Bombyx mori: one gene and its partner. Each later gene encodes a partner of the first gene's protein in a complex. Links are inferred from orthologs where the notes say so. Each region holds a gene or a part of one and is shown on either strand. Other genes may lie near its edges.

Region 1 (16,231 bases):
GAAACGCGACCCACTGAGAAGATCCGGCGAGAAACTCAGTAGGCTGTGTCTGTGGGTTAATTCGCGACGAGGAATAATGTCAGAAAGCAATCTCTGAGCTCTATAGAAAACTCATAATGCACCAACAATAATATTCAATCAGTCACCAAAACAAAAAAGTAACTATGAGTTAGTGAAGCTGATCCTTTGTTTACTTCATTTGTGGAATCTGCTATGACTTTATAAAAATCACTAAATCAATACTAGTTTTTCATATCTATTCAAACACATATTACAAAGGGTGAGGTTTTATGTGTCTTGTCTCTCAGTTGATCTATAGTTAGATTTCTGAAATATTTTTATAGTTTCAAGCAAACGCAGTCAAAGGCATATTTCACCATCTGGATGAAAAAATGATAACCGTTATATTTTTTTGGTAGTGGATATGTATGGTAAATATGTACTTACCTTGTGAGCAAAGCTCTCTCCACATTCAGTACAAACATAGGGTCGTTCTCCGGCATGATACTTGCTATGCGTCACCAGATGCCGTTTCAAAGGAAATCCTCGCCCACATTCACCACATACAAATGGACGATCTCGACTGTGTACCTTTTAAGGGATACAATTAATGAAATATCCATATACCCAATTTACATGAATACTTTTTATTGAGCAAATTTCCTTTTAAAGGATATTGACGCTTGAAAGGCAAACATGACTAAGCGACAATAACTGCTTTGTACATTAATGATAGGCAATAACCATATTCGATGCGCAAAAAAAATATATTTCTAGGTCTATCAAAATAATTTCAATCCTACAGCTACTAGCTAGATTCTACTACGGCTAGATTCGTTAAAATAAATTTTGTTTTCAGGTATTTCAACTTTAAATTAGTCTACTGTAAAGTTCAAGCATTGTCACTTAGTCACGTTTGCCTTTCAAGCGTCGATATAATTAATGAAATATCCATATACCCAATTTACATGTCTACTTTTTATTGAACAATTTTAGCAATTTTTTAAACTGTACTCACCCTAGAATGTGTTACAAGATGATGTTTAAGTGTAAAGGCCATTTTGCACTCATGACATCTGTAAGGTCGGTCAGCTGAATGCAGCAACAAATGTGTGTTCAAACAATGCTTTCTTGCAAATGCTTTGCCACAATGAGCGCACACATGAGGTCTTTCACCTAGGTAACAATTAAATTCGTTCTTAATTTTCTGCTCTTTAAGAATTATTAATTAGAAATAAAAATGTCAATGATCACTAATCTTTGTTATACATATTAAGAAATGTTCACCATTGTATGTATTCATGGCAATATAATACTTCTTTATATTATTCTTCACATTATGATACTTCTTCATTTAATTAGTGAATAAGGGTTAGCAAAAATTCATAAATCTTAAGACAATCATTAAGTTTTATGGGTATTGTATAATTTTAACCTTGTTACAAGTCATTTTGATAAAGGAACACCGTAAATTATAATTATTTTTATACCCAAATTATTAAAAATATTCATTACTATCTATGTGACCACTTTAGTTATAAGAAACATTTTAGATTTGTGTTAACAGTTGTAGTCTAGTGCCGTTTTTTGTTAATAGTCCAGTGCCTAAAACTACAAAATAATGCAATTTTGTAAAGATAGATAGAACCTTATCCATTTTAGATCTAACAAAATACTTCTACTGTATACTTTTTAACAAATCATAAAATGACATTGCTCTTCTTACAAATTTTACAACATATTTACTGACCGGTGTGAACCCTTGCATGTGTTGTGAGATGGTGTTTCAACAAGAATGATTTTCCACATTCGTCACATGAATATGGCCTCTCTTTAACAGCAGGAGGTGGTGCTGTTGTCGTCATTATTGTATTTGCATTGATCATCTCTGTCTGTGAGTATACAGCCTGAAAAGAAACATTATTACTTGATAACTTAAATTCAATAATGATCGAAATATCTGAAGATATTTATTAGTACTCATTTCACTGAGTTTCGCATCGGATCTACTCAGTGAGCTACGATTCCTGAGCAAAGCACTGAACTTACTAGGTCTAGTGTTAGCAAATTCTCTCAGTTCTCTCAGTTGAGCCTGTGAGCTCACCTACCCTTCCGCACATAGTTGTAGCACCTTAGTCTACCAACGGTTAGATAGGGATAACAATAAAATAAGAAGACATTCATATGGTGACTACAATTATATATCGTGAACATCAAAGCTTCCTAAGAAATAATTACAGGGAAGTCTGATCTTTGATCAACGAGATAAACAATAAATAACTAATCACTGGGAACAAATCACACACTGTCATCCAGCCCCAAATTACGATTGCCTGTATTATGGGTACCTGAGGCTGACATATATACTTCTATATGCTTAAATATATTTTCATATATAAATAATAGCTAGAGCCGCTAATTACTGCACAACTGAGTCAGTCAGATAAACGGATACTTGACTTTTTTTTTCCTACTTAAGCTGGTAGCCTTGAGAGGCTATTCCAGCGTAACCCTAACTAGTGGATGAGCTCACGGGGCTCAAACCTGGTGACGTTGCTAACACGAACCCTAGCAAGAGCCGTGCTTCGCAGAATCTACCACCGGATCGGAATCGCGACCCACTGAGAAGATCCGGCGAGAAACTCAGTGGGCTGTGTCTGAGAGTTAATGTACTCGTCGAGCCCTTCGTCGCGAGCGACGGGTTCGACGAGAACGGTGACCGGTGCTTGAAGTACCTAGAAGCACCGTTAGTAGATCGGAAGGATCCGAGATGACGTGTTTTGGGCGACGTCGACTGCTTTCCATTCTGTCCGCAGGATCGGGAATACTTGACTGGTTACTGTTGCTATCTATAGAAATAAAAATTCTTACTTTAGGTGAACTATTAGTAGTTCCAGGTTCCTGCTTCGTATGTAACAGATGATGTTGTTGTACTGTTGTTGTTTGTATTGTTTCTGCTTGACCCTGTTGATTGTTCGCTTCGGTTAAACTCTTCAAGCCACCATTAAGTATTGTATGGTTTAACTGTGATGCATCAATGACAGGAGTCGCTATTCCTTGAGCTTGCAGTGCCCTTTTCATTAGAATTTCATTGCACTCTTCTGCCGTCAGTTGTAGTGGTCCAAGGGGAGTCATAAACGACTTTGATGTTAAATTTGTTGCTGCAATTTATAATTTATTTTATTGATTTGGTTCACATAAGTTTATTGTTATTAAATATTAACATGAAACCTAACAATATTGGTCAAATTAACCTTTTTTTTATATTTTACATGTTATAAAATTGTTATGAAACTATAAGAAAATTGACAGAACATGCTTTTAATATTTTCTTCACTTTTTAGTTTTAGTTTATTTTTCTCTTTTCTAAGAAAAAAACTAATATCTGCATTAATAAAATCAGTATTTTGTTATTAGGAGTCAATTTAACTGAGTGCAGTATGAATAGATAAATAAGAACTGTCAGTAGATTTTGTATTAAATACTTACAGAGAACTTTATTTATCTAATTTAAGCTTAAAATTAAAATTTAATTTGAATTTAAGCAATTAATGCTAAATAAGCAAAAAGCTGACTAGTAAGCGATTGTAAGCCTTAAAACAGTTAATAATACCCACTATGTATTGTCGCTGTTTGGTTTTGTTGTGAAACCCTGTTTATAGTATGGGTTGGAGCTTCATTCAGAACAAACATAGCTCTCCTGGCCGTCACCGGAGCTCCTGCTGTGACAACCCTTGTGACTTGAGCCCCCGAGTTGGATACTGCCACAGCAACAGCACCCACTTTATCTTGGACTTGCGGTGTCTTGTGAGACATAACAGTGAGTGTTGTCTCTGGAGACACCTGAAATGTTTTATTTATTGTTGATTATTTGTTTTTATTTATAAAATGATTTTAAGTCTTTACTGAAATGAAACCTATTTTGAAACAAAATAGCACATATAAGTACACAATTTCATAATAGCTTTTTTTTGTTGCTAAATATTAAAATAACTAGAAAATTTACTTCAAGTGAAAGCTGATTGTTGTTAATTTCATTCAATCTTGCTTATGGTTAAAACTTTGAGAGGATGCACTTTGAAATTAAAGTGCACAATAAATGTTTACTCTAAAGTGCTTCAGTTATTTAATTTATTTTATTTAGACCTTACCGTACTCCCAAGCGAATAACTGAGGCTGCTCGGAGTTTCGACATCGCCCTTGGTAAGGTCCGCGGAACTCGTAAAGCCCCAAGAATAACCGAAACCCGAAACATTGTTCGGTGTTGGCATACACATTTTCACCACAATATAAACTTCACTACATAGAAATGTAAACGCACTAACACAGATTCACTATTTGATAGTAAACAGTCCTCATGACAGTTTTATCATTGCGAACATGTATGTACGACCTCACAACCACACACGCAAAACGCACTCATTGACAGCGACGCCGAATATCAAGCGAAAACAACACTAATTTACAACTTGTGATGGTGTTCTGTGTAAATAACGATGAATCTTAACTTTAGACGACATCTAAATTAGTTTAATCAACCCAATATAAAAGGCGGCCCAGAACAACGACGCTTCAACGAACATTGACACGCACATTATTTACAATAAATAGTACGTTATTAGAAGTCATATATGCATTTATAAGCTTCATAATTACATATAAAATAAAAAACACTTTCGTATGTCAAAAAAAATTGGAGAAAATCCAGATTTTTATGAAAACAATTAATTTATCGCACACACAAAAAACCTGACGCCATTTTATTATTTATGGTCATTTGAAAACTGAAGCATAAACTTTTAAATTTCTAGTTTTTTTTTTGTCAAAGACAAACTTTATAAAATTCTTGAAATTAGTTTATTTTTTAAGCCCTATAACTAATCAATCAAAGCTGTAGTTTCACTAAAAGATTTTTGGTATTATGAATAAATGTACTTCTCTGCATACTGTTCTACTTTTGAATTAATTTCTATTTAAATTGGCTGAATTTTTCATCCTAAACGCTTTAGAACTAACAAAAATTACGTGATTTAATTACACCACATTCTTTACATGAAATGTCAATATTCTTGGGGTATTTTTTAATTTATCTTAGTTACTTGATACATAGGTAATAAATTTATGCACTCATAGTCTGACTTCTTTGCAATATTACTAATTAAGACAAGCTCTTCAAGAACTCAAGTACCTGACTTTTCATAGATTTAAGTATAATCTGCCACCATCATGTTCTTTATGGAAATTGAATACATATTTTATGATAGATTTCAAATTTGAAGTAAACTAAACCTACAAATAAATACATCCGTTCGTTATGTATAATAATAATAATATTAAAGTATCAACAGCTAGCAATATAAATGTAGAAACAGCCTGTCATCAACTGTCACTGTCAACTTAAAATTACCAAAGAAAGTATAAAATACCTACCTACCTAGGTAGGTACATAAATATAACAGTTTAAACCTTAAATCTGAGTTTGATACTTTTTCCCTAACATATAGATTCAATATAGAATTGACCTATTTCCCGTTTATGAAATAGACATAGACGTCTTAAAATTCAAAATGAATCCGATGTCAATGGACCGAGATGAACCTTCCTCATTGTTATCATTTTCCTCCAATCACCCTCTAGAACAGTTTGTCCTTTTAGCAAAGGGAGCTAAAGGTTCTGCGTGCGCTGAACTCATCAAACAGGTTCTGGAGGCTCCAGGAGTGCATGTTTTCGGCGAGCTATTAGAGATGCCAAATATTAAAGAGGTTAGAAAACTTACCTTTATATCGATCAATTAATTCTAATACATTTTTAACCATTAAATGTATGAAACTGTCCGAATTCTATGGGTAGAAATCAATTTGGCGCTCTTGTTAAAATTCATTTTATTGTATTTTTCAGCTGGAGAGTGGACCTTATGCAACTCATTTAAAAACTCTTAATTTGTTTGCCTATGGCACATATAAGGACTACATTGAGAACAAATCGGACTATTTAGAATTAACCACAGTCCAGTGCAAGAAATTACAGCATCTGACCATTGCAACACTTGCAACACAAGAGAAATGTATCCCTTACAGTGTGTTACTTGAGGAATTGGATATTAAAAATGTTAGAGATTTAGAAGATCTTATCATTGAAGCTATTTATGCAGGTGAGTTGATTTTCCTACTATAGTGTATATACAAACAGTCCCTAATAAAAAAAGTGTCAGAGTTGTTGATTCATAAAACAGTATTAAAATTCAAGTTTGACTACATGCATTTTATACCTTGTTTTTTTCTTTTTCGAGTTATTCTTGTGGTGTATATGAGAAAACAATTCAGTGCCGAATTTGATGTAGTATCTAATTTATTTAGTTCATGTTTTATATAGATTAAAGCCACATATATAAAATGTGCATTGATAAAGAATACATATACACTAAATAAGCATAACTTCTAAAGTGTCCATATAAAAAAAAATCATTAAATCTTAAATGAATTTAGCTACCAATACAAATAGGAAACTGATGCTACAATGACATGAGCCATGAGCCCTACTATTATGTCTTCAGATAATTTAATGCATCTTAGTGGAATAAAGTTGGTATGAAGTCGTCGTGGCCTAAAGGATAAGACGTCCGGTTAATTCATGTTGAAGCGATGCAAAGGTGTTCGAATCTCGCAGGCGGGACCAATTTTTCTAATGAAATATGTACTCAACAAATGTTCACGATTGATTTCCACGGTAAAAGAATAACATAGTGTAATAAAAATCAAACCCGGCAAAATTATAATTTGCGTAATTACTGGTGGTAGGACCACTTGTGAGTGCGCGCGGATATCTACCACCGCCCTGCCTATTTCTGCCGTGAAGCAGTAATGCGTTTCGGTTTGAAGGGTGGGGTAGCCGTTTTAACTATACTGAAACTTTAGAACTTGTATCTCAAGGTGGGTGGCGTCTACGTTGTAGATGTCTATGGGCTCCAGTAACCACTTAACACCAGGTGGGCTGTGAGCTCGTCCACCCATCTAAGCAATAAAAAAATTACTTAATTAAAAAAAAAGTTTTATCATAAAAAATTCAATTACAATTTGAGGTTTTACAATATAACTATTGGTTTACCTTATAATTACAAGTACTTATGCTTAGTAAGTCAATGTTATGTTCCCTGTTTGAGTTTGTATGCCCTGAAAACAGTTTAACATCCTTTTATTTATCCATATAAGCATATATTTATTTTGATTTTTCTTTTACTATTTTATTTTGTTTTTACCTTCGTAGAAGGGGAGATCAATCTATTCCATGTGGTAGTAAGTAGTTGTAGGGAAACAAATAAATCTGAATGTGAATATAGCAAGCAAACATCAATAAACAATTACTTTCTAAAAATAGCATTTTTGCACTTCTCATTATGACCATGGCAACTAATTAACAATGCATTCCTTTTAATTATTACTTGTATAAAATTAAGTTCAATAAAAACCTCATTAGACAGATAGTGTGTATTCTTTATTTTACATCAATATAAACATAAATACAAAACATACATCACACAAAAGTAGAATGGGCAGTCTTATTGTCAAGAGGATTCTATTCCAGATAACCATGAAGTGGACAAGAATCACATGAGGAAATAAATTAACCGCAGTGTACTTATTAGTTAAAAGATATTTTTTTAAATATGCACAATATAACAATATATAGATATACAGTATAAACTCATTAGGAGTAGAATACCTTGACGATTTGAATATACATACATGATGTTGAACTATTTTACTGTTACAATAGACCACTCGCACGATAATTGGAAATAATTTACATACTATACTTCCATAGACATAATTCACGGCAAGTTGGACCAGGAATGTAAACGTGTGGAAGTGGACGTGGCCCTTGGCAGAGATGCGCGGCTTGAAGATGCAGCTTCCATTGCTGATGTCCTGGCCGACTGGTGCAATGCTTGTGAAGCAGTACTCAATTCTGTAGATCAACACATACAGAGAGCTAATCATCAGAAACAGAAGGCTATCAGACATCAGCAGGGTATAGAACAGAAGGTGAGTGTTATATTATCTAAGGTGCATGTATATTATATAACAATTCCTAAAACAAAAACATCATCATCAAATACAATGTTTGACCTTCTAAAAATCATATAGTTCTTATAAAAATCTTCGATCAACAATACTATTATTGATCAAGCTCAAAATAAAAAAAAATACATAACTTTATGACCCATTCGGAATGTAGGTTCACCACAAAGTATCAATCAGCAAGAAATTCAGAGCTTGCACTTTTAAAGATAAATGTATATTTACAGTTCTGGATGGAAATAGTCTTCAAAATTCTCTTAACTATTATTTTTTATCCTCCATATATATACAATTAGATTCAGATCCATAAGTAGACATGTGACATAGACAACTGCAGTGACACAGTTTAAAGGAGCATGCATTCGATTCACTATGCTTAGTGCGAGTTTTTTTACTTCTCGATCTTGTAAAAGTTAACCGTGTAGGAGTTAGAACAGTGTCCCTTCGTTTGCCGCTAGGTTCGCTGTTCCAACTTCATACTTATTTGAGTTAACTTTTACGCAATCGAGAAGTAAAAAAACTCGCACTACGTGCACAGAACACTGTCTATAGAAAGCAGTTTAGTGTCGCTTCTGTAATTGCTCGAAATCCTTTTTACCTTTCGAATATTTATCAATTCATAGTTCTGTTCAGCTTATTTGTAGAACTAGATGGTAATGGTCACTTTTACAAATATCTTAAATTTCATGTTTTACTGTAATTGTAAGTTTTAATATATTTCGCCATTGATGACAAACCAGAGTCCCAGGGATAGTACATAAGAAAACGTTTTGAAGTCCCGTAAAAAAACAGTCATGCATTACCAAACAGTAGATTATTATGAGAATTTGATTGAATACCTCAATTTGGACTCATGTATTATTACCTATGTTATAATATCAGTATGCTTAGTGCGATTTTTAACGTTCTCGATAGCGTAAAAGTTAGCCCAATTTTGTATGCAGTTGGAACAGCGCCCCTAGCGGAAAACGTAGGCAAACTTTCTCATTCCATACAAATATGAGCTAACTTTTACGCTATCGAGAACGTTTAAAAAACTCACACTAAGCACACAGTTGGATTCGGATTTAAACTTAGCATTACAAGGACCTTGATCACTGAAATAGTAAGACGAAAACTTCAAGTAACTCAAGTTAATTATTATTTCAGATTTTATACATAAAGAAGACGTTGAAGACTCAAGCAGAGAATGATGAGTCAGCGTCAGGTGCCAATGCCGAGCCTCACTCAGCACCCAAAAAGAATTCGAGCAAAAGCAAGACTGCACGTAACTCTGCCAAATTCTGGCAGAAGAGCACATAATTGAAAAACAGATTGAATTGTATTTTTAACCTTGTGATAATTTTTGAAATAATAAATATGTTGTAAGTGTATCGTATCGCATGTTTTTTTTTTCATTTGACAATTTTCCGTTCGGGAAAACGAAAAATTCAAGTAGGTATTGAAGTTGAAAACCACGGAAATTTTTAAATATGAAAAATGAACGGTGGATGGAGCAAGCTTCGGGAACTTGATGATTAGTATTTATTGGAAATGCCTACATATCGATACTAGGTTAAAGTTTCGCTAAAGTAATGTGTGGGTGAATTGTTCCTTTAAAAGATCTACAAAAAAGTCCGCGACAGCATATGTCTATATATTAAGGTTGGCTCACTATAACGTTTTTTATGTTAAACACATTTGTTATAAAATAAAGCATTATTTGTGAACTATTCCACGCAGACGAAGTCGCGGGCAAAAGCTAGTTACTTATATGAGGAGTTCTAGTGAAATAAAAACGAATTGAAACTTGTCTTTGATTTTCCTCCACTTCAAAAAAATTATTCCAGACTTTGGTGTCGTTATTTATTAGTATGTTATGTAGTACGTTGGTATACTGTAAGCGTTATTCTTTACTACCAATCTACCTAATCAGAATAGAGAGGAACATTGGCATTCTCTACGCAGGTACTCTATCGAATAATACATCTTGTGTGTGCTCAAGGGTTCATTCGAGACGATATTTCATCCGATTACTTTCCATCAAAAGGGCTACTAAACATTACCTAAGAATTCGTCCACTCATTCCCATTGCGTTTCAACAGATCGCACGTCCCATTAAAAATCGATCCAATTTTCTTCAGATTTAGATAGATTGTATATAAATCGTATGTGATGTAACTTCGATAGTCTGCTTAAAAATTTAGTCACGTCAGACGCTGTCCACTCACCCGGTTTCAAACCGTGATTACGGTTAAAATAATATTATACGATTTCTAAGTAACATTGCATCTGCGTGGAAACAAAACAGGAATTACATTTTATGTATAGTAAATATAAATTAGAGCAGCAAAATCTATGGATGACTGATCGTAGGGAATGAGTATTGTCGCCACGCACGGACGTGCCAGCCCATTTTTCAGCTTCGATGCTTAAACCGTTGCAGAGTCGAACTACAAATTATGCGAGAGTTAGGTCCCATGTAAATTAAGATAGCAGCCGTTCAAGAGAAGCGAAGTGCAAAATGTTAGAGGGATTTTCCCTTCGTTCGATATTAATTTCGTTCTATACAATGTAGACCCATCTGTACCATAATAGGATCTATTCTGTGTTCAAGATATAAACATGCCGCAAATCTGTGCTTTAGATAAATGTCAACCGAATATCTTTCACTTTCATGACTGAAGTTGAAAACCTTGAACGCCTATGTTTCCAGGGTAGCCAATTTAACACATTTGCTTCGATCTTAGATTTTCTTAGCTCATCATTACCAAGCAATTAAAAATTGCAAATTTTTAGACTTCTCCATTAAAATATTTGGACCACTGAAACACTACGGCTCATCGTATACTTTTTGTGGTGATTTATTGAATATCAATTAACTTCGTGTTACTGACTATTTAGGTATTCGTTTTACTGGTTTAATGACTGCCCTTAATAGATCTGACTTCTAAATAATTCAATGCTATATCCCCCTGATGTATGTTTTTTAAGATATAGCCTTACAAATTTTAATATGAGAAATATCTTATGCTACACTTATTCGAGTAGATGCTTTTAGAGCAATAATAACAGTAATAATTTGTAACCGCCTGTTAATTAAAAATAGCGAAGCGCTAAGAAACAAAAATGCTATTTAAAATTAGTTACCACTGTGAATAATTATCAAATTGATTTTTAAAAAAATGTTACTTTAAAGCTAATTTTTAAACTATTTTCGAAGTGAATTCAAAGCTATGAAGGTAAAGAGTTACAGTTAAATTTATTTTTAGTAGATAAATTAACTTTGCAACCCAGTTTACCAAACGTCAAACAACAGAGTGGGACGAAGCTTCGTTTTGTTTCAGCCGCGAACGAGAGAGCGAAAGTCTCGAATGGTTCGGACAGCGAGTCTGTTTTGTTGACGCAGAGGCGCAGCGTTTAAGTGCGCAGGCAGTGCAACGATTATCGTGTTAGCAGGCCACAAAAAAGTGATGTAAATAACACATTAAACATGATACTAATGTAAACAAAGTATGTATTACGTGAACACGTTTCTGGGACGCTATGATAGTGTGTTAAAGAACTAAAAATTTGTGCAAGAGCTATACACAACTCCATAGCAACGATTCTGTGAAAAACTACGACACAAGTGGCCGTCGTCGTCGCGTTTTCCACAATGATTCCGTAACAATTAATATAACTGAATAGACTTTATTATTTAATTCCGTAGGAGGCAATTGTTCAAAGAAGCGTCTGGACTCGAAGACCTTCGTGTATTGGATGTACAGAAAGGCAAGTATGTAGAATTGATCGTAATCACCTTTCACATACCGATCTATATTCACGGTCAAACTTGTTTACTCAATACCTACTTGTTTTATCGATGCACTGTCCACTCATTAAAAACCTACCTACTTATTAATTCCGTTAAGTAAATGCAGTCCTAATCATATTAAAATCCAATGGATATTATTGTTTCACAATCAGATAATAATTGTTATGAATTTTAGATACTATAATTATTGTTATGATGATGTTTATGTGGAGTTCTTTGTTATGGGGCTCAGCTGTTCGGAGGGCGGGGCGAGGTGCGGGGTGCGGGGAGAGACCGGTCGCGCAGGGTACCGCGCGAGTGCTCTTGCATTATTCCAGCTCACGTTCATGATATGAAAATATAACAACAGACTCGGTTTTATTGCCCCAATCGGTTAAAGTAGCAGTACTAAAGTGAGCACGGATCACAGTAGATCATAATATATCACAGGATAAATGACCGATATTACAAGAACTACGATCAGATAAAACACTTGTTTATTAAGGAATCTATTGTCGTAGATCAATAATCAAGATGATTATCAATGCACCAGTTTATTGAATTTTAAAAGATATCTCAATATAGAGTTAATTGTATAGTATAGATGGGTAGACGACCTTTACCTGATATTCAATTGTTACCGGGGCCCAACGTGAATACTATCCGCCGAATACCTGGAAAGTAGAGTTGGTAGTCTCAATTTTATTGTTCAATGCCTGTTCTACTATCAAAATTGGAACTGCTTCGCAACAGAAAAGACGAGTCGGTTGTAGCTGCCCGTGCTGACTTATATATTTTTTGCGATAGACGGGTTCTGTTAGCTCAAAGGCCTTTAGAGCTTTATACCAGGACAGATGGGCGGCACGAGCTCAGCCAGTAGGGGTCATCATAATCGGTTGCTCTTGGCAGAGCAGTCGTGGTCATGTGGAATTCTTGCTTATTAAAGCCTTGACAGATGTTTTCCATAGATTGCGAACCGAGGCCCGGCGCACACACTCGTTAAGTGGGGTTTCAGTAAGGTCTTTCACCTAATCAGTACAGCGCATGGGGATTCGTCCACGAGATCTCTTACCATTGACCTTACCGTGAACAACAAGTTTCTCGATAGATGCTGCTGGCAGTAGGGGTAGGATTTGCTAAAACCTACCCGAGTGCGAAGGAATTTAACAGCTCGAAGGCAGCTGCTTCGCGAATGCATCTAATACCGGATCGGAATCGCGACCCACTGAGACGATCCGTCGTGTAACTCAGCGTGATGAATCTATGAGCTAGATTTCACGTCGAATTCTTCCATGAGCTCGATAAGTAGAGTTACCAGAGTCCTTATATCTGCTCTATAGTGCTAGCGTTGCCGGCGTCTCATAAAAATATTAGTGGATCATGCTACCACCGTAGGCATGGTAGGCAGCGGCTTGGCTCCGCCCCTGGCATTGCTGACGTCCATGAGCGACGGTGACCACTTACCATCAAAGGCAATAGTAGGCGGTAGTTCTTTTTGACGCTCAACAAATATGTAAGTACTTTCATTTATGTTGAATAATTTTTTTTTTATTTGATTTGATTTGAATAAAAAAACCACCATTTATTTTTTTATTGCTTAGATGGGTGGACGAGCTCACAGCCCACCTGGTGTTAAGTGGTTACTGGAGCCCATAGACATCCACAACGTAAATGCGCCACCCACCTTGAGAATAAGTTCTAAGGTCTCAAGTATAGTTACAACGGCTGCCCCACCCTTCAAACCGAAACGCATTACTGCTTCACGGCAGATATAGGTAGAGTGGTAGTACCCACCCGCGCGGACTCATAAGAGGTCCTACCACCAGTAAAAACCAATTACGAATATGTGTAATTTCTCGATTTTTATTACATGATCTTATTCGAATTCTCGGAAACCGTACAGGTATAAGTATTACAGATATGGGATAAATTATAAAACAGCGATAATGCGCATACCTGTTTGAGCATTAATTATGAAACGAAATGAATGAACCATGGGCATCCTCCACACTTACCTACAGGGTGTGTATCGTTCTTGAGGCTGATATATACTTAGTCTGGCCATAAATACTGTTACAATAAAAAAATAAAAAAAATATATTGCAAATAACATTTATTATGTACTTTTACAGTGTTAGATGTTAGATTAATACATAAATATAAAACACTTTAAAGTATAAAAAGCTTATTCGAAGTGGTCTCCATTGGCTGCAATACAGTCCTTTAAACATTGAGGCCAATTATCAATAGAAGCACGCACTCTTTCCATGGGAAAATTTTTCTTCGAATTCTTTCCCTTACTGCTTTGACCACCTTTTTCGTACGAACACTACGTGGACGGCCAGATCTTTTTCTGTCACAAACAGAGGAGGTCTCATTGCACCTATTAATAGCCCGGTACACAAACATTTTACTAATACCAAGCGTATGGAGAGTTTTAAAAATTGCATTGGCTCCATACCTACTTTGTGTAATGCAATCACAGCGATTCGGTTCTCTTTATCACCCCACTCCATTTTAATATCGCAAAATATTGTACAATGTATTGGCGCCAAAATGAGAAAACTCAATGAGCAATCATATAAAAATGACAGATTCCAAATTCAAATGTAATATTTTGCTTATTTTTAATTGTAACAGTATTTATGGCCAGACTAAGTAAACTGCGAACCTAATAGATGTTGTTAAACATTATTCATTTATTAAGGTAAACGTAAATAGGTACGTATTTTTACAGTGAGTTCGTATTCAGTGAACCTGCAATTATTGCCATTACTTATTTTATTACGTGCGAAATACGAAGACCATTTAAAAGTTATTACATTTTAAACGTTATTTGTTAAATTATTGTCGTAATTAAGCGTCGCCGTCTCATCCAACTGTTCCGATTTATAGAACACTTTTTCCTACCTATTCTAGTAACCTCAAGCGGTTATTCTAGTTTCGCCGTACTAGTAGGTGAGCTCACGGGGCTCTAACCTGACGACGTTGCTAACACGAACCCTAGCAAGAGCTTTGCTTTGCAGAATCTACCACCGGATCGGAAACGCGACCCACTGAGAAGATCCGGCGAGAAACTTAGTGGGCTGTGTCTGTGGGTTAACTTACGACGAGATCGATGACCGGTGCTTAAGGTACCTAAAAGCATCGTTAGTGGATCGGGAGGATCCGAAATGACGTGTAATAGAACACTAGCGATCCGCCCTAGCTTCGCTTCGGGTACTGTAATTTATTATTGATCTTATCGAATGTTATATCTTCAAATTTCTTAATATCGCGCACTCAGTTATTAGTACTCATAACTATTCAAATATTTGTCCAAATGATGTAGTGTAATAAAAAAGTGTATCTACTTTAAATACCAGATGCGATACAAGTATTTATTTTGATATAAGAATCAATTTGTTACTACGAAATGTGCGTTAGAAATAAATTATCAATTTTTATTGTATTTATGGTTCACTATTTTGGCTATAATGGCTTACACATAAAACAAAGATATATGCTGTCGCGGGGTTTTTTGTAAGACTATTTTGTGTAATTCACACTATATACATATTTATAAATTATAGTATATGTGTTACTCTGACGTGTAAGCTATATTATTGTAAAATTTCATCAATATCCAGTAGTTTTTGCGGGAAAGAGTAATAAACACACATCCATACATTCTTACAAACTTTCGCGTTTGTAATAAATATTCTTAGGATTCTAAATAAACCCTATCGGTTTACCCACCGTTCTCTGATTTATCTTTGATTCGGTCGCTACCAGATTACCCTGGACAACCGCTAGCGATTCAGCTAAGGCAATCTGAGAGATTTCCTGGGTCATTCTCATTCGCGAAGCAGCTGCTCTTGAGCTGTTAGGTCTCCTTCGGAGGCGCTCGGGTACCTGTTAGCAAATCCCACCCCTCCTGGCTGAGCCTTTGCTCGCCCACCTGTCCTGGTGAAACTGGAAAGGCCTCCGGGCCACCAGTAAATATTCAATCATAAAAATAAAAATAAAAATAAAGATTTCCTGGGAATTCAATCGAAATTGGCGCAGCTGTTTTTAATTGTGTGTATAGGGACACACATTGACCTTTATAGATAGAGGAAACGTTCCCGTATATTGAGTACAGGTACATACATTCTGTCTATTTTTGCCGGGGAAACATTTATTCTCGTGTTTAAGCTTATGAAAGTAGCGTGTAAGCCTATCGAGATTCTAACATATACCTAATATCTATTAAGGTAACCATTTAACACCGCATAGACTAACAACTTGTGCCTGCATAAAATAGAAAAAAAAATAGAACTCTTGAAATTATCTGTGTATATTAAGGGTTTTTTTTAAATAGCCATCTTGGGTAAACGGACACTCTCCTAATATATTT
Region 2 (16,368 bases), on another chromosome or scaffold:
ATACTCGACATAGTTCTAGGTGCTATCTTTATCTCCCGAGATAAAATATTTTGCTTTCGGACAGGATTTCTTCGAATTCTTTCCCTTACTGCTTTGACCACCTTTTTCGTACAAACACTATGTGGACGGCCAGATCTTTTTCTGTCACAAACAGAGGAGGTCTCATTGCACTTATTAATAGCCTGGTACACAAACATTTTACTAATACCAAGTGTATGGAGAGTTTTAAAAATTGTATTTGGCTCCATACCTACTTTGTGTAATGCAATCACAGCGATTCGGTTCTCTTTATCACCCCACTCCATTTTAATATCTCAAAATATTGTACAATGTATTGGCGCCAAAATGAGAAAACTCAATGAGCAATCATATAAAAATGACATTCTAAATTCAAATGTAATATTTTGTTTATTTTTAATTGTAACAGTATTTATGGCCAGACTAAGTATATTTGAATATCATCTTTATAAAAAACACCTTCACAAGTAATGCTTTATTTTAGAACAAATTTGTTTAACATAAAAAACATTTTAGTGAGCCAACCTTAATATATAGACATAGGCTATCAACGGACTTTTTTTTAGATTTTTTAAAGGGGAACAATTCTCTCATACATTACTTTAGCGAAACTTTAACCGTCTCCACAGCGCACGCAGTGGAATCTCGCAAAACGGAAAAAACCCCAATTTTGCAACATTCTTTATTGGTGCTCCATTTGTATTGATCTTAGTGTGATGTTATATAGCCTATAGCCTTCCTCAATAAATGGGCTAAAAACTGTTTCAAATCGGATCAGTAGTTGCTGAGATTAGCGCGTTCAAACAAATAAACTCGTCAGCTTTATAATATTAGTATAGATTAACATTTTACCTGCAACTACTGCTCTACCCTCATATTTCTTCCAATCTTTCTTCAGTTGATAGTAAAGTATGGCAGATCCCATAATAACTACTATTGAAATTATAATAGCTGCTAGTTTTACAGCATCAATAGGGGTAAATGCACTAGAGACTAGTATTTCCACTTCACTGACTGCATATTGTAAACCATCAAGACTCTTTGATATGCACATATAGGTTCCAGAATCTGCTTGAGTAACTTTCTGAAATGTTGAGACATATATTTTTTAAATTGTAATTTATAAAAGTGTTAGCAAGTTACCAAGACTCAATTAAGTTCAGTAAAAAAATATAAAAAAATAAATTATAAAATAAATTGATGTCATAAGTTATCATCAGTAAAGCCATTGATATTGAAGAGAATGATAATAAATAAAGTTCATTTAACTATGTTTCTAATTGTTCTTGTAGTCATATCTTGAAATATATCTAATGAATACATGCAAACCAGTGTAAATTTTCGTGTTTTAAGCTGGGAAGTGGCACTTAAATTAATCCTTCATTTCCAGTGTCACACACCACTGCACTGGTGGTAGTAATGGAGAATTTTAGAGCTGGCCAAAGGGTGGTGGCACAAACCAACTTAGACATGTTAATACGAAAACATCTCTTATCCAGTAGCATATTCAAAATTTGAAATTTTTTTGGCATGAGACGATAACTAACAAATAGCTGTGGAGGATCACCAACCAGGCACCAATGGAGATGGAGATCCTTACGCGGAAGTGGCATTGGAATGGTCACATATTAGAAAAGCCATATTAGATCTATCCAAGAGAGCACTGACCTGGAAAGTGTCCGGTAAAAGGAAGAGAGGCCGTCCCAGAGTAGCATACTCAGTAACCACATTTTGACCCACTGCTAAAAACGTCTACAATCCCTACTATGTGTTAAGCCCAGCCACTGGGCCCATAGAGGTTTGAAATATTATGCAATAAGACTACAACCTATCAATTATTGCCATAAAATAAATAAAATATAAATAATCTTAAAACCTAGTCTTGACAACACATTCATTGGTTTCAATGCAGACTGGCCATAAGCAAAGAGCTTCCTATCCTAAGAAACGACTACAACAAAAAGTTTGAGGGTAACTAGTTCTAAAGTAAATCATTACACACAGACCTTATATACAATAAACACTTATTATTATAATTAATTAGCATTGCAGACAGTTCTATTTTGAGAATTTAATCTTTTACTAATTCACTAATTTTTCTTATTTTCTAATACTTACATTAATATTAAGTTTCCCTGATAAAACTTCATATTTATACTTTTTATCATTGTAATCAATTCCTGAACTTATGATTGTAGTTTTGTTAAAGAGCCAGAATAAGAAAATATGATTTAAGTCATTACTAGCACAGTTCAATGCAGCATTATTACCTTCAGCTATTGTCATCTTCATTGTTTCTAGTTTTATTTATTTTCTAGACGAATGAGTCTTCTTCCAACATACGTAATAGAGTTTTTCAACACTTGAGTAAGATTATTATATCACCAAAACTTCTGATGCTGCCACAAAACATTTGAGAAGAGCAAACATCGGTATTACTGAATGCGTGCCAAGTTTATAATTATCTTTACACAGTCATGAAGTCACATGTCCTTCCCCTCAATGCACAGTATTTATTGCTTCCTATTAAGTATGCTTCGAATCATTTTAATACCTACTACTTCCACTGGAGTGTTTGATCAAATGCATGAACACTTCAATACAGAGAACTGGCAGTAGCATCCATATAGGAGTCATTACCACATAAATAGGTAAATAAACTCTATTATATTCCAATTTTATACAAATTATTATTTGTGCAGCCATTTTTAGTCCAATTGCAGCTATGTACCACACATTTTTATTGATGGTTCCTCTAAATCTTTCAATGCCATTTCTGCAGTGTGATACCATATGAAAAAGTACGTAGATCAATAAAATACTATCGTACACCCACATTGGAATAAAAACGATGAACCAATTCCAATGTGTTCTAGACTCTAATCTCAGACATAGCAAAATAAGAAAAATCAAAAATATAAACCAAGTAAAAAGGGCCCTATGTAGAATAGCCATTGTTGAATAATTAGATTTTCCAAACCCAATCAATAACACAAGATTTCTAACTCGTCTACCTGTTTGTACTCTATTAATAAATCTTGAAATTTGTCACAGATTTGTAAAGTTGTTACTACGTGAAATTTGTTGGCATGAGGCATCTATCCATCATTAAAGCGAGTTTATAGATAATAAAAACAGTTAATACATTTTACACATTATAAAGCGAGTCACAATGTACCGTTTAGATCATAGATTATACACTTAATATATTTGTTGTTTAGATGTAATGAGAAATTATTTTCCTTCGGGAAAACTCGATCTTTATCGGAAATAATCGGAATTAGACATGCGTAGTTCCGGACCTAAATAGTTCCTGGAACTATGTCCTCATATGGAACTATATCATTCAATCCGAGTTGTCAAAATTAACATGTTCAGACAGTTCCATTTCCATTCCAAGTGTACTGTTATGCAGGAACTACGAACGCGTTGAACATGACGGACATGCGGACATGATTAGAGCATAGGTACCGCGCGGCGCGGAGGCGTGGCGCGGCGAGTCCACCCGAACGAGTCTCGAACCGACACGAGTCCACGTAAAGAGATAAGGCGACATATGGCACGAATACGAGAGAGTGAGATGGAGCGAGTGCATGAAACTGCGTGTGGAGCTCTTTCATATTACATTTTTATTAATATTGAAGTTATGCTCTACGACCTACGTGTTACAGTCGATAGTTGAATAAATTAAAATGTTTTGCTATGGATTTTGACCTTGACCATGCATCATTCCTACGAGCACTTAACCTTAAGTGTTTGTGGACCATTTCTTAGAAAATCATAATTCAAAATTCGAGAATTTTAAAACATTCACCACTTTCGCTATTCGGTATCTCGGTTATGGGAAAAAGGTTGTAAGGCTACAACGAGCTTAATTTACGTTGTATATCAGAATAACGTGGTATTTTAATTAACAACTGATAGGTTATAGTTTCCGGTGCATCGTACAATACCTACATTGAAAAATAATGAAAGTAGTAGAGTAGTTGAAATTATGACAAAGTAATTACAGTACATTAATAAATTATGCAACCAGCTGTAACAATGAACCTAAAACTAAAAACCTTACAAAATAATAATTACAATAATAATTGCCATAAGCGGCAATCTATTTTTATATAGTGCTTTTAAAAAATTGTATTTTTAATACCTTTTTTGAAAAATATTGTGTAATTAATAATAACTTAATACGTGATTCGCTACACTACAAACAGCTACTAGACTTAACATGTCCGCGGAACTAAACAGCTTCAAACAGCTACTAGACTTAATATGTCCGCGGAACTAAACAGCTACAAACTACAAACAGCTACTAAACTTAACATGTTCGTGAAACTAAACAGTTCCGCGAACATGTTTACTGGAACTAGTTCCGACACTCAAAAGAACGATGTCATGTTCAATCCAGTTCCGGACATGATTAGCGCACGTCTAATCGGAATACGATGACAACCGAACTGTTTTTTTTAAAGGGATTTTATGACCTGGTAACTGAGACCTTTAAGTCACGTCTTATTTTAATTTATATTAATATTTTTATGAAAAATGATATTATGGAGTGAAATGAAATGAAGATGATTAATTTGAGACATTAATCAACTGGGATGAAATATAATCTCAGTAAAATGGTGGTCATTTACTAAGATTTTTTCAGTGGAGTTTTTGGAGGATCCCGAGAAGTTATGTCCACGAAGAAACACTAAATAGACAAAATAAAACAAATCAATCACTCCTCGCGTTCCCGCCAAAAAGTCTCAACCGAACTGTCAATGAATGATAGCATAGATTATACACTTAATATATAATGACAGTATTACATCATAATACACGAGTGACACTTTCATTTCCATTATTGAGTTTCATACACTGAAGTAGGAAACCTAGTTTCATACTTCAGTGTTTATTGAGGAACTTTGTGGGAACTTTATTGTTTAGTGTCAAATTTCAAAATGAATAATGTCATTGTATAAAATAGAATTAGTACATTCTTATTTCATTAGATTTTTTTACTGAACCGACAAAGAAAAAATTACCCATAAAACCAAATCTAAAAAAGGCAAAAACATGTCAGTTTAATAAAATGTGAAATGGAATTAAATAATGCAACAGATTTATTTTTATTGCCCTTGCAGGTAGACAAGCATATGGCCTGCCTGATGGTAAGTGGCTACCGTTGCTCCTGGACATCAGCAATGCCGGGGCACAGCCAAGCCGCTGCCTACCGTTGCGTACTTTTCTTAAGTCTCCTTTAAAGATAGATCATCTGTAAAGGAGATTTATATATATATATATGTATATATATTTTATATATTATATATGGCGTTCGGGAAACACCGTAGAGGGAAGTTCATTCAAAAGCCGGATGGTACATGGCAGAACTCTTCTCCGATAACGGGTGATGTGATTATAAAATTAATATTATGGGATCATCTGAAACAATACATCAGAGCACACCCTATGGGACATACGATACAAAACCCAGAGACAATCGAAGTCTCTCTGTAGACAGAGAGCTCCAAGCGATACATGCGAACGGGAATATGGACAATCCGAACGTCTCTCTTCTGTATGAAGTCCAATGGAAATTATCTGATAGTATTTGAGAGCCCCGGCCCAGAGGTGAGAGCAGTACTCCACGCAAGGCCGGAATTGCTTTGTAAGGCCGAATTTGTTTTATATAGCAAAAATCTGTATCCAGGTGTGAAGTACCAAACACAAGTTTCGATAGTTTTTCCTGCATCATAATGAATGATGGCAAGAAAATAATTTCTTAGTAAAATAGCACCATTCTTGTAATAAAATTAACTCTTCTCATGACTGTTTTCTTTGAATTGATTTTGATTCAATTTTATTTGAGCCGGAATATATTTTTATTACATAATTTTTAGAAAATTAAGTGATTTATGTATCTAGCCAAAAGAGCGAGCGCATCTTTTACGGGATAGTTTCTTATTTCTTCATGTAGTTTTTAAACTAACATTTATTACGGGTGTGATACAGACTAAATTACTGAAAATAACAATAAAAAAGAAAGAGATTAACACATACCTATTTTATCATATCGCACAAATACATAATGTTTTGTCTTATCTCAGCTCAAATTTAATTCATTTCGTTCCGTTTTACTTTTTATACAACACTTATAGCTGTAGTCTTTATTTTTTACAAGATTATGGTCTAGTACCTCTTTGCCTAATATATTGATGTATTTAAATAAACAACTACCGCTGTCAATTTCTCATGTCAAAAAAATATCAATAATTCATGTTATTTTCGTCTGGGTTATTTTAAATGTAGAAAAAAGAAACAATTTATTTAAACATTTATTAATTCAAGCACATATATAATTTATCTGATACTACTATCACAATGGCTTCTCCTTTAGAACAATTTGTCAACAATGTGAGGACAATGTCGGCATCAGGTACCGTGCTATTATAATTCATGGAATAAAAAAAGTAGGCACCTGACACAATCGCAATCATAATAATAATATTATAATAAACCTGATTCTTTTTTAGGAAACAAATTTATTGGAATGTATTAGAACGTCATTAAATCAAACTTCATGGTACAATGTCTTATCTTTCAGGTAATTTTCGCGATTTATATGAGATTATTGCAAAATCAGATGAAGTGTTGCAGAGGAATAGCTTCCACCTCAATACAGTACTTGAAACTCTTGATATCCAACAGCATTCATTGGGTGTTTTAGCAGTCCTGGTGGCCAAATTTTCCTTGCCTCCGGTAAGTGTTTTAATTATGCATTCTAACTTTACATAAATTATTACAATGGCCTTAAAGTGTAATTGAAATCTAAATGTATGTTAAGTCTAACTTAAACTGTATCAAAATCTATATATTAATACATGAAGCAAGAACTTTGTATCCCTTTTTAAGAAAATTGCGCGGACGGAGGAGTATGAAATTTTCCACACTTATAGAGAATATACAGAAGAAGTGCATGATGTTAATATATTTTTTGAATAATGCATAAAAGATACATTAAATCAATAAAGAAAACATTACACACACTACATACCTTGTATTTGACGCACACACGCATGCATACTATTTATTGTCAAACTTTTGTTCTTGACGTCTGTTGTCAAATTGAAATTAAATATTGTTTGTCTTTGTTAATATTTTTTATAGTGTAGTCTTGGTGAAATTTGTGATTATAGAAGTATAAAATACAATCATAATAGTGTAAAAACTTACAATTCCAATTAATCATAGTTGAATTTCGACTACTGCGGGACCTCTAGTATCACTAAATATTCACAGCAATAATTATAACATATATTATATATATTTTATATCTATCAAGGCATTTTATGCCTAAACTCAAATTAAATAAATAATGGTTTAAAAATACTAACAAAATACGCTTTTGTAGAAAATCCAACTAAAAAATAGAAAATAAATTTGATTTAAAAATGGTGTAAGAAAAAATTATTTTATTGTAAAAAAGCATGGGGTGCATGGTGCATGCATGGTAAGGGGGTCAAAATCATGTTCAAAGATTCTGTTACATACTAACATACATACAACTGAAGCTAATAAAATCGTATTAAAAAGCTGCAAAGTCACCCAACATGAATTTTGAAAAAAATCTGTAGTAGTATATTTATTGATACTGACAAACTTAATGAGGTCCAATATTAATTTGAAAAAAATATCTCGTAATAATATAATGTTAACTTAGGTTTTCTCTTTGTTTTGAACTGTATAATGTTCTACAGCATGAAATAAACTGTTCATCACATATTAACTACTTTTATTTCTGTTTTCTGAATCAATATAACTTATGTACCTTACAGGGCAATCCAGAAGTTGATAGGTCAACTATGTATCAACAGTTTCATGATTTTATCAATAACTGCAATGGTGAACAAGTTCGATTTGCAACTGATTTATGTAAGTCTGCTTTTCATTTTGTCAATCTTTTTTAGTCAGAATGCTGAACCTCTATATATTTTACCTTCTTTGATATCTCTGAAAACTAGAGTTGACCCTGCTCATAGCCTAGTAGTATAATAGTAGCCTAGTAGTATAATCATGAGTGTTTCATAGTTCAGTGTGTGATTGTAAATACTGAATTTTTATCAATCAATTTATGTATAATACTTTATCAGTAGCATCTTTTGTGTATAAGCTGTGTGGCTGTGTGGTCTAATATTTCAAGTTAAAAACTGAGAAAAAAGTTTAACACAAACTCAATAAAATAAAATAAATACTTGTTAATAAAATAACCCTCATTTATTACAATATTTAATTATAGACAATCATAAGAAATATTTTCTATCTCTGAGTGCAAGGTCAGTAATACTCACGAATAACCTGTTATTATGCTAGTCACTAGCAGCTAGTGTAATTAATTCAATTTAAATATTAAAATTAATTTTTTCATTGGTCTATTTCTTAAAAAATAGTATCTTATCGCTTTCTCATCTTAACTTAGCAAAACAATTTAAATATGTATAAAAATAAATTAAGTATTTTAGATTTACGCTTATGTAATGGTTTTACAAATATTTATTGATTTAGATCTGCTTCTGATCTGTTATGTTTTGAGGGACGGGTCAGATGAACAATCCCATCACTGACCTATAAAGATTTTTTATGCTCATGAATCATCATTGATCTAGCATAACAGTCAAATCTTTCACTTGCTTCTCATTATCAGTATTATGTTTTATTTTTATGAAAAGGAGTACAATTTTCTTCACTAATACACTATTCTTCTTCCTCGTCCTTTCCTATTAGTTAATTATTAATCACTCTATTTATAAAATGCTTGAAACACAAAAAAAATTACTGTTAGAATGGCATATTGTTAACCACTAGTCCAGTCCAGTCAAGTCCACTTAGTCCTCCAGACATGCAGTCTAGACTAGTGAAATAGCCTCTATATAATTCATAAAAAAAAACTTCAACCTTGTCTTAAAGTCATTTGTGTAATTTGTATTTTGAGTTTATGGGCTGCAGTAATCATTTAATACATGTAGGGCTTTGAGATCCCTGTCTAGAGCAATACAAAAACGATTGTATTGTATTTAATTTCTAAAATTACAGATGCAGATTTGTGTCATCTACTCACAAATCATTTGGTAGAAATCAAACAACCAATAAGGGGCCTGGAAATATTAAAAAAGGCTATAAGAAAGATACAATTGTTTGATTCACAGCTGACCTCAATTCATGCTGATCTTTGCCAGCTCTGTTTGCTCTCAAAATGTATGAAGCCAGCTCTTGAGTTTTTGGACACTGACGTCACTGGGATTGGCAATGAGGTAAAGTGTAGCCTTTTAATCCTCTTTATTTGTCTTCATTCTTTAAAAATGATTATGATAGTGTTACCTCTGAAGGATTGGCGACACGAGAACCCTCTCATCGTGGCCGCCGGTAACTACATTCCAGATCCTGCGGACAGAATGGAAAGCAGTCGACGTCGCCCCCAACACGTCATTTCGGATCCCGATCCACTAACGGTGCTTCTAGGTACCTCAAGCACCGGTCATCGGTCTCGTCGAACCGGTCGCTTGCGACGAAGGGCTTGACGAGTAAATTAACCCTCAGACACAGCCCACTGAGTTTCTCGCCGGATCTTCTCAGTGAGTCGCGTTTCCGATCCGGTGGTCGATTCTGCGAAGCACGGCTCTTGCTAGGGTTCGTGTTAGCAACATCGTCAGGTTTGAGCCCCGTGAGGTCACCTACTAGTTAAGGTTACGCTGAAATAGCCTCTCAAGGCTCTCAGCTAGCTAGAAAAAAAAAAGGGTTGGTAGTAGAGTAAACGTATTACAGTTTTTTTTTATTGTTTAGATGGGTGGACGAGCTCACAGCCCACCTGGTGTTAAGTGGTTACTGGAGCCCATAGACATCTACAACGTAAATGCGCCACACACCTTGAGATATAAGTTCTAAGGTCTCAGTATAGTTACGACGGCTGCCCCACCCTTCAAACCAAAACGCGTTACTGCTTCACGGCAGAAATAGATGGGGCGGTGGTACCTACCCGTGCGGACTTAAGAGGTCCTACCACCAGTAAATATTACAGATTTACGAAGTACGAAAAGAGAGAACACTTAATTAGCGTATATTTTTTATTATAATTAAATGTTAGTGTTTCGGTAGCGATGGTTGATCATCAGGCTATGACTATTATATATTTATTAATAATATAATAAATTAATAGTATAATTACTATTAACTTATTATATTATATATTTTATTAAATTAATTTAATAAAATATATAATATAATAAGTTAATAGTAATTATACTATTAAATTAATTTAATAAAATATATAATATAATAAGTTAATAGTAATTATACTATTAATTTATTATATTATTAATATTATTAGTTATAATAATATAATTATATTATTGAACTAAACTATATTTCATAACTCTAGCTAACAAAACTTCATTTGTTCTAGCTTGGCGGTATTAATGATTCCAAACATTTTCTACTATATTATTACTATGGGGGCATGATTTATACAGCAATGAAAAACTATGATAGAGCTTTGTATTTCTTTGAAGTTGTAGTGACTGTTCCGGCAATGGTTGTATCCCACATCATGTTGGAAGCATACAAGAAATATATTTTAGTGTCTCTTATACTTCATGGAAAGGTACGTTACTCCTTCCAATGATACCTTCAACCTCAATTTTAAACCCATACAGTGAGCAGGACTTTTACTAAAGCCATAACTTAATATATTTTTTAATAAGCATGTAATCAAGCTATGCTAAAAATACATGTCGTACCATTGGAAGATCAAAACCGAAGAATCCAATTTTATGTTATGTTGTTTTCCTGGCTATACAAAAATTTTGTATAAAATAATAATTCCATGACATGATAGAATTGTTTGGTTTTCATTTCTATTTCAAAAATCTATTTAATAAATTTTTTATTCCTATAATGTACTTTTAGTTTTGTTCTTATTAGACATAATGATTTAAGTAATAACTCTTTTTAAAGGTTTTGCCAATGCCGAAATACACATCTCAAGTGGTTTGTCGGTTTTTGAAACCGTTGTCAGCGCCATATCATGATTTAGTGGCATCCCAACATGCTGCAAGCAAACACCGCGAGATATTTGTCAGAGACAAGAATATGGGACTAGTTAATCAGGTCTGTTTTGAAATAATAGCTTTAGATTAAATAGAAAAATTTATTTATTCGATTGATAATGACTTACTAACTCAAATGCAGTGTAATTAAGGTAGTGTTATATTTTGGAAAATATGAATAGTCTTTTATAACTAATTTTTTTTAAGGTTTTAAATTCAATGTATAAGAAGAATATTCAGAGATTGACAAAAACATTTTTAACGCTTTCGTTGAGCGATGTCGCTTCTCGCGTGGAATTATCTGGGCCTCTTCAAGCGGAAACATACATACTTAATATGGTAAGATCAATAACATTAGGTATCTTGAAAAATTTTTGTAGAACTATGTTCTGTAAGACGTGCAGTTAGTTTTATTAATAAGGGAAGCTTGACAGTATACAAACGTTCTATGATAAAATAAATAATTAACATAATAATATTATATTGGCGTTTTGTACGGGAGGAATAAAGAGTCAATTTATTTTTGTAAAATATATTTAATTGATCAAAGTATGCACCGTTGTTATCTATGCACTTTTGCTATATCATAGGTAGTGCATTAATTCCTTTACTAAAAAAACCATGGGGGTGAAAATCAATAAACTCTTTGAAGGCGGTTTGGATTGCCGGATCGAAGTTGAATTTTTTTCCTTGTAAGAAGCTGTCTAAATCCCGGGAAAAAAATGGTAATATGTCGGAGCAAAGTCCGGGGAATACGGTGGATGTCAGTGGCGTAGGCGATTAACTAATCTCAGTTGTTTAGCAGCTATTTCTTCCTTTATGGTTTGCAGTTGCTGACAATAGATATCTGCCGTAATCGTTTGGCCAGATTTTAGAAAACTGTAGTTCAAGTTTTTTACTTTCCCGATTTGCTTCAAGTGGATTTATACAGTTTTATCACTTACCCCGAAGCCTGCAGCTATCTCTGAATTGCTTTGTGATGAATCCGCTTCCACAATAGCCTTTAATTCTTCAATTTCCACTGTGGTCTCCGGTCGTCCACGCGATTGTTTCTGAAGGTCGAAATTTCTAGAACGAAAACGTCGAAACCAAAACCGTACCGTGCTTTCTTTTGCCACACCAGCGCCGTACGCTTCATTAATCCTTCGAGCTGTTTCTGCAGCACTGGTAGAACTCGTACTCGTAAATATGCATGCAACATTTCATGTTTTCCATTGTGCGGTAGGTAATAAGCGACGCTAAAGAAATAAATATATAAAGAAAATAAAAATAAATTACTGTTTTCAAAACTCAAACGTATAGTAGGTACTGGGCAAGAAACAATTCACATCGACCTCTAGAAAGAGACATTCGACTAATTTCAGCTTTACAGTACAAGAGTTACACGGCACAAAACTTCACATTTAATGTTTTTCGACAGATTGAAGAAGGCGAAATATATGCAATGATTAACCAAAAAGATGGTATGGTGGTGTTTCTAGATAGTCCAGAAAAATATGCATCACCGGAAACATTGTGTGTCTTAGAACAGCAAATGGCTGCTTGTACTAAACTTCACCAGTACATACAGGAAATGGATGTTCAGATACAAGTCAATCCACAGGTAACAACCGCTCTGGTAATCATTAACTGAGTATCGAACTTTATAAACGAACTGTTTTCATATTTTCTTATTTTTACTTCCTAACTTTTCATTATTTTTGGTCACCATCTGTAATTATCAGTCCTTTCGAAAAGAATAATCCAAGTTAATTAAAATTTAAATTCTTTTTTTTCGTAATCCTATGTATTTTCTTACAAAAGTTGGACCTGAACTGCTGCATAGTTGCTTTGCTTGATACAAATAGAATGCATGTCTCCTATTTTAAGCTAGGGAGATTTCTCAAAGTTTCGTTTTTGTTTTTTCTACTATGTAATTAATTTATTAAATAATTACAGTATGTGAAGAAATCAGTTGGAAGTCACGATGAAGATATGCCCGGCACAAGTCAAAATACGAAGACAACATACACAATGTAATATAAGTTATTTGTTGTATGCTAAGAATAAAAGTTTTCTGTATTAACAAGCAAATTCTTTAATTCCCAACCATATAACATGCATAAAAATATTCTTCTTATATAGCTTCATGTACTGTTTCAGTAAAAACAGTCATACTCTCAAGTGGGGTTTGTGGTGTAATCCCATGACCCAAATTAGCTATGTATCTATGTTTTCCAAACTTTTTCACCATTTCAGTTGTAAGTGTTTTTATTTCTTCCTGCAAAGAAATAATTCTTAAAAACATGTCTAATTTCATCTTAATTTCTTGTTAATTCGATTTTACTAATGTAAATAAAGTAAAATACATGAAAAGTGTAATTTCTTAAATTTAGTTATTGCGTTAAAAAGTATTTTGTTTTTCAAAGTTAAGTTTAAGACAAGCTAAAATGAATAAGTACGGCACATTAACTCAGGTTTAACAAAAAAAATTTTTAAATCTGGGTTTTATAAAAAAAGCTTGTCATCATTATTCATGACACTGAAATGAATGAAATGAAAGTTTACGTCACCAGAAGAATTTATAATACATTACGTACAGGAGTTTTGTATAAATCCTGAGGATCAAGATTTCCTTGCAAAGTAATGTTTTCACCTACAATTTTCCTGGCTTCAGTAGGATCCACTGTCCAATCTAGTCCAATGGTTTCATAACCTAATTGAGCTTGAATATCTAAGGAATGTCCAGCTCCTTTTGCAAATATGGTCTGAAAATAATATAATAAGTATTCTTAATTGTGTGATTATCTCTAGAGCATGTTATTTACAAGTTATTTTACTATAAATAACTTACCATAGGAACCTGTTCTAAAGATTTTTCTGTAAGTTTAGCTCTAACTCCACTTCTAATGTCTTTCAAATATGGAATAGAAAACTCAGTAAATTGTTCTCTTGAGAGGTGATCTGCACTTGATTCAAATACTTGCAGAAGTTGCGCTCCACTCTCCACCTTCAGTTATACATGCATATACATATAATTATATACATTTCCATTTGAACAAATATATTTGATTTTCAAGATACATTAAGATCGATTATGTTTTTAGCAAAAAATATACTATTTCAAACTTACTTGCATCACCACATAGTCAATTATAACATTAGTAAGAAGACAAAGGAGTCTATGGACATCTTTAGGATACTTCTCGAGCCATTCTTTTGTTTTAGACATTGTTTTGCTTCCTCCACCCTCTAGCATGTATCCAAATAGTGTAAACTAAAATTTTATCCCAAAATTAATTAAATACATGAGTATATTTCAATGGCATCAAATTATACCTAAATATTTGTGATATTTACCGGAGCTCCAGTAAAGCCAATCAAGGGAACTTTACCATCTATTTTATGTCTTGTCAGTGTGATAGCCTTTCCAACATAATCCAACCTTGAAACTGCACCTTCTGGTTGGAGACCATCTATTTCTGATGGGGTTTGAAGTGGTTTAGGAAATACTGGACCCTAGAAATACATTTTTTTGTAATGATGTCAAGAATGGGTAGAGCATTTTTAAATTGGATTTTACTTACGACTCCAGGGTGCATTTCAACAGTCATGCCGAGTGCTTGTGGTATCACAAGAATATCACTGAATATTATAGATGCATCCAAGTGCTCATACCTTCTGAGCGGCTGCAGTGTTACTTCACAAGCTAATTCTGGAGTTCGACAAACCGTGAAAAAATCGTGTTTAACTCGGACTTCCTGAAATTCTGGTAAATATCTTCCAGCTTGTCGCATTACCCAAACAGGGACTTTGTCAACACTTTTTCCTAAAGCTGCTCGAAGTAGTCTATCATTTTTCAATTCTGGAAAATTCTGAAGGAAATTCAAAGATTTTGTTAATAGTGAAAAGTCTAGTAAAATGCACAAAAGCAAACTGCTATTACCTTGTTAGAGTACTCCATGTTATGAATGAAAGATTTTGATTAAAAAATAATTAACCAGGTCCAAATTATGAATTATGAGTAAAATAAAAAAATCTATTAATTTTAATGTATGTACATTTAATGTATTGGCCGACTTGGTTTATCCAGCTGATTTTAATGAGTTTTGTTTTCTTTTTATTTATTTTTAATATTATATGGCCTTGTAACAAGACCTTTAAGCCAAGTTTTATATTCCGTTATTATATGGATATGATAGCGAACTGAGATGCAGTTGATTATTTTGAGACTTTATCAATTGGAATGAAATTAAACATAAAGTCTCAGTAAAAAGGTTAATACTTTTTAAGAGTTTTTCAGTGAATTTTTTGAAAAAAACCGATTAGCTATGTACGTTCAGTAGCTTTGTTATTTTACCACATTTGTGGACTTTCAAAGATACTCAATAGTTAATAAGCCACCGTTATTACACAGTGAAACTTAAAGAAACACTAAATGAAAAACATAAAAAATTCAAACAAATTCACTCTTCGCACTCCCGCCAAAAAGGTCTGAGTTTTTTAAATCGACATAAGATTACTGACACTGACATCAGATATCAAACACTGCTGTCTTACAAGTTACGATATGTGCTATTAGGTTTCATACGTCAGTGGCTATATTTAACAACTATGCGTAAGTTGTAAGAAGCTTGAGAGACTATTCTTAAATATTAAATTACTATTTTATATAATATAATTATTATTTATATTATTATCTATGGACAATATTATGTACTAGCTTCACCGAACGTGAGTGAACGTGAAAAGCTTGAGGTTACTAGCTACTGAGGCTGGGTAGCCAGGGTAGCATTGCAAAGGGCCACTAGTATGATTGCGACGCGACGTGGACATAGCGAACCATGCGCGCTGTTTTATCTGTCTCTTTGGTTCATTGTGGACGAGCAGCGTCTTGTCTTCGATGCAGAAGTAGGGTTTGACTTAGGTACCGCAACGGAGAAAATCAAATCCGTTACTGTTCACTCACAGCAGAAACGTACCATAGTCTACCTTCGCAAGCACTAAAAAAAGCACGCTATATCACAATGTCATATTCGACCGCGACGGGGTAACGCAAAACTGCCGTCGCCCGAAACATGTTTTGTCGGATCCCCAGGATTCACTCTCGGGTTTTTTAGGCCTCTCGAGCACCGCCCCCCGTCCTTGTCGAACTCGACGAGCGAACTAACCTACAGACACAGCTCACTAAGTTTCTAGCCGGATCTTCTCAGTGGGTGGCGATTCCGATCCGGTGGTAGATTCCGCGAAGCACTGCTTTGGCTGGGGGTAGTGTTAGCAAATA

Evidence for each region.
Region 2: COP9 signalosome complex subunit 7b (region 1) and COP9 signalosome complex subunit 3 share a complex: the UniProt entries of both Drosophila melanogaster proteins name them as parts of the CSN complex. The link is inferred for Bombyx mori from reciprocal best matches to the Drosophila melanogaster genes CSN7 and CSN3.

The regions. Positions count from the first base shown.
Region 1 is NC_085114.1:3,658,699-3,674,929, reverse strand, and holds COP9 signalosome complex subunit 7b, read left to right. Parts: upstream 1-5,175; 5' UTR 5,176-5,567; coding exon 5,568-5,762; intron 5,763-5,898; coding exon 5,899-6,151; intron 6,152-7,821; coding exon 7,822-8,042; intron 8,043-9,227; coding exon 9,228-9,380; 3' UTR 9,381-9,456; downstream 9,457-16,231. Other genes in the region: zinc finger protein 615, read right to left, coding at 448-591, 1,019-1,176, 1,751-1,907, 2,872-3,161, 3,618-3,843, 4,152-4,277. UniProt on the Drosophila melanogaster protein: Component of the COP9 signalosome complex (CSN), a complex involved in various cellular and developmental processes.
Region 2 is NC_085119.1:8,366,644-8,383,011, reverse strand, and holds COP9 signalosome complex subunit 3, read left to right. Parts: upstream 1-6,122; 5' UTR 6,123-6,387; coding exon 6,388-6,442; intron 6,443-6,610; coding exon 6,611-6,765; intron 6,766-7,841; coding exon 7,842-7,938; intron 7,939-9,096; coding exon 9,097-9,314; intron 9,315-10,462; coding exon 10,463-10,660; intron 10,661-11,013; coding exon 11,014-11,166; intron 11,167-11,312; coding exon 11,313-11,444; intron 11,445-12,525; coding exon 12,526-12,708; intron 12,709-13,043; coding exon 13,044-13,124; 3' UTR 13,125-13,178; downstream 13,179-16,368. Other genes in the region: uncharacterized protein LOC101742302, read right to left, coding at 871-1,102, 2,137-2,310; uroporphyrinogen decarboxylase, read right to left, coding at 13,222-13,365, 13,685-13,852, 13,939-14,094, 14,218-14,361, 14,445-14,603, 14,672-14,959, 15,031-15,048. UniProt on the Drosophila melanogaster protein: Component of the COP9 signalosome complex (CSN), a complex involved in various cellular and developmental processes.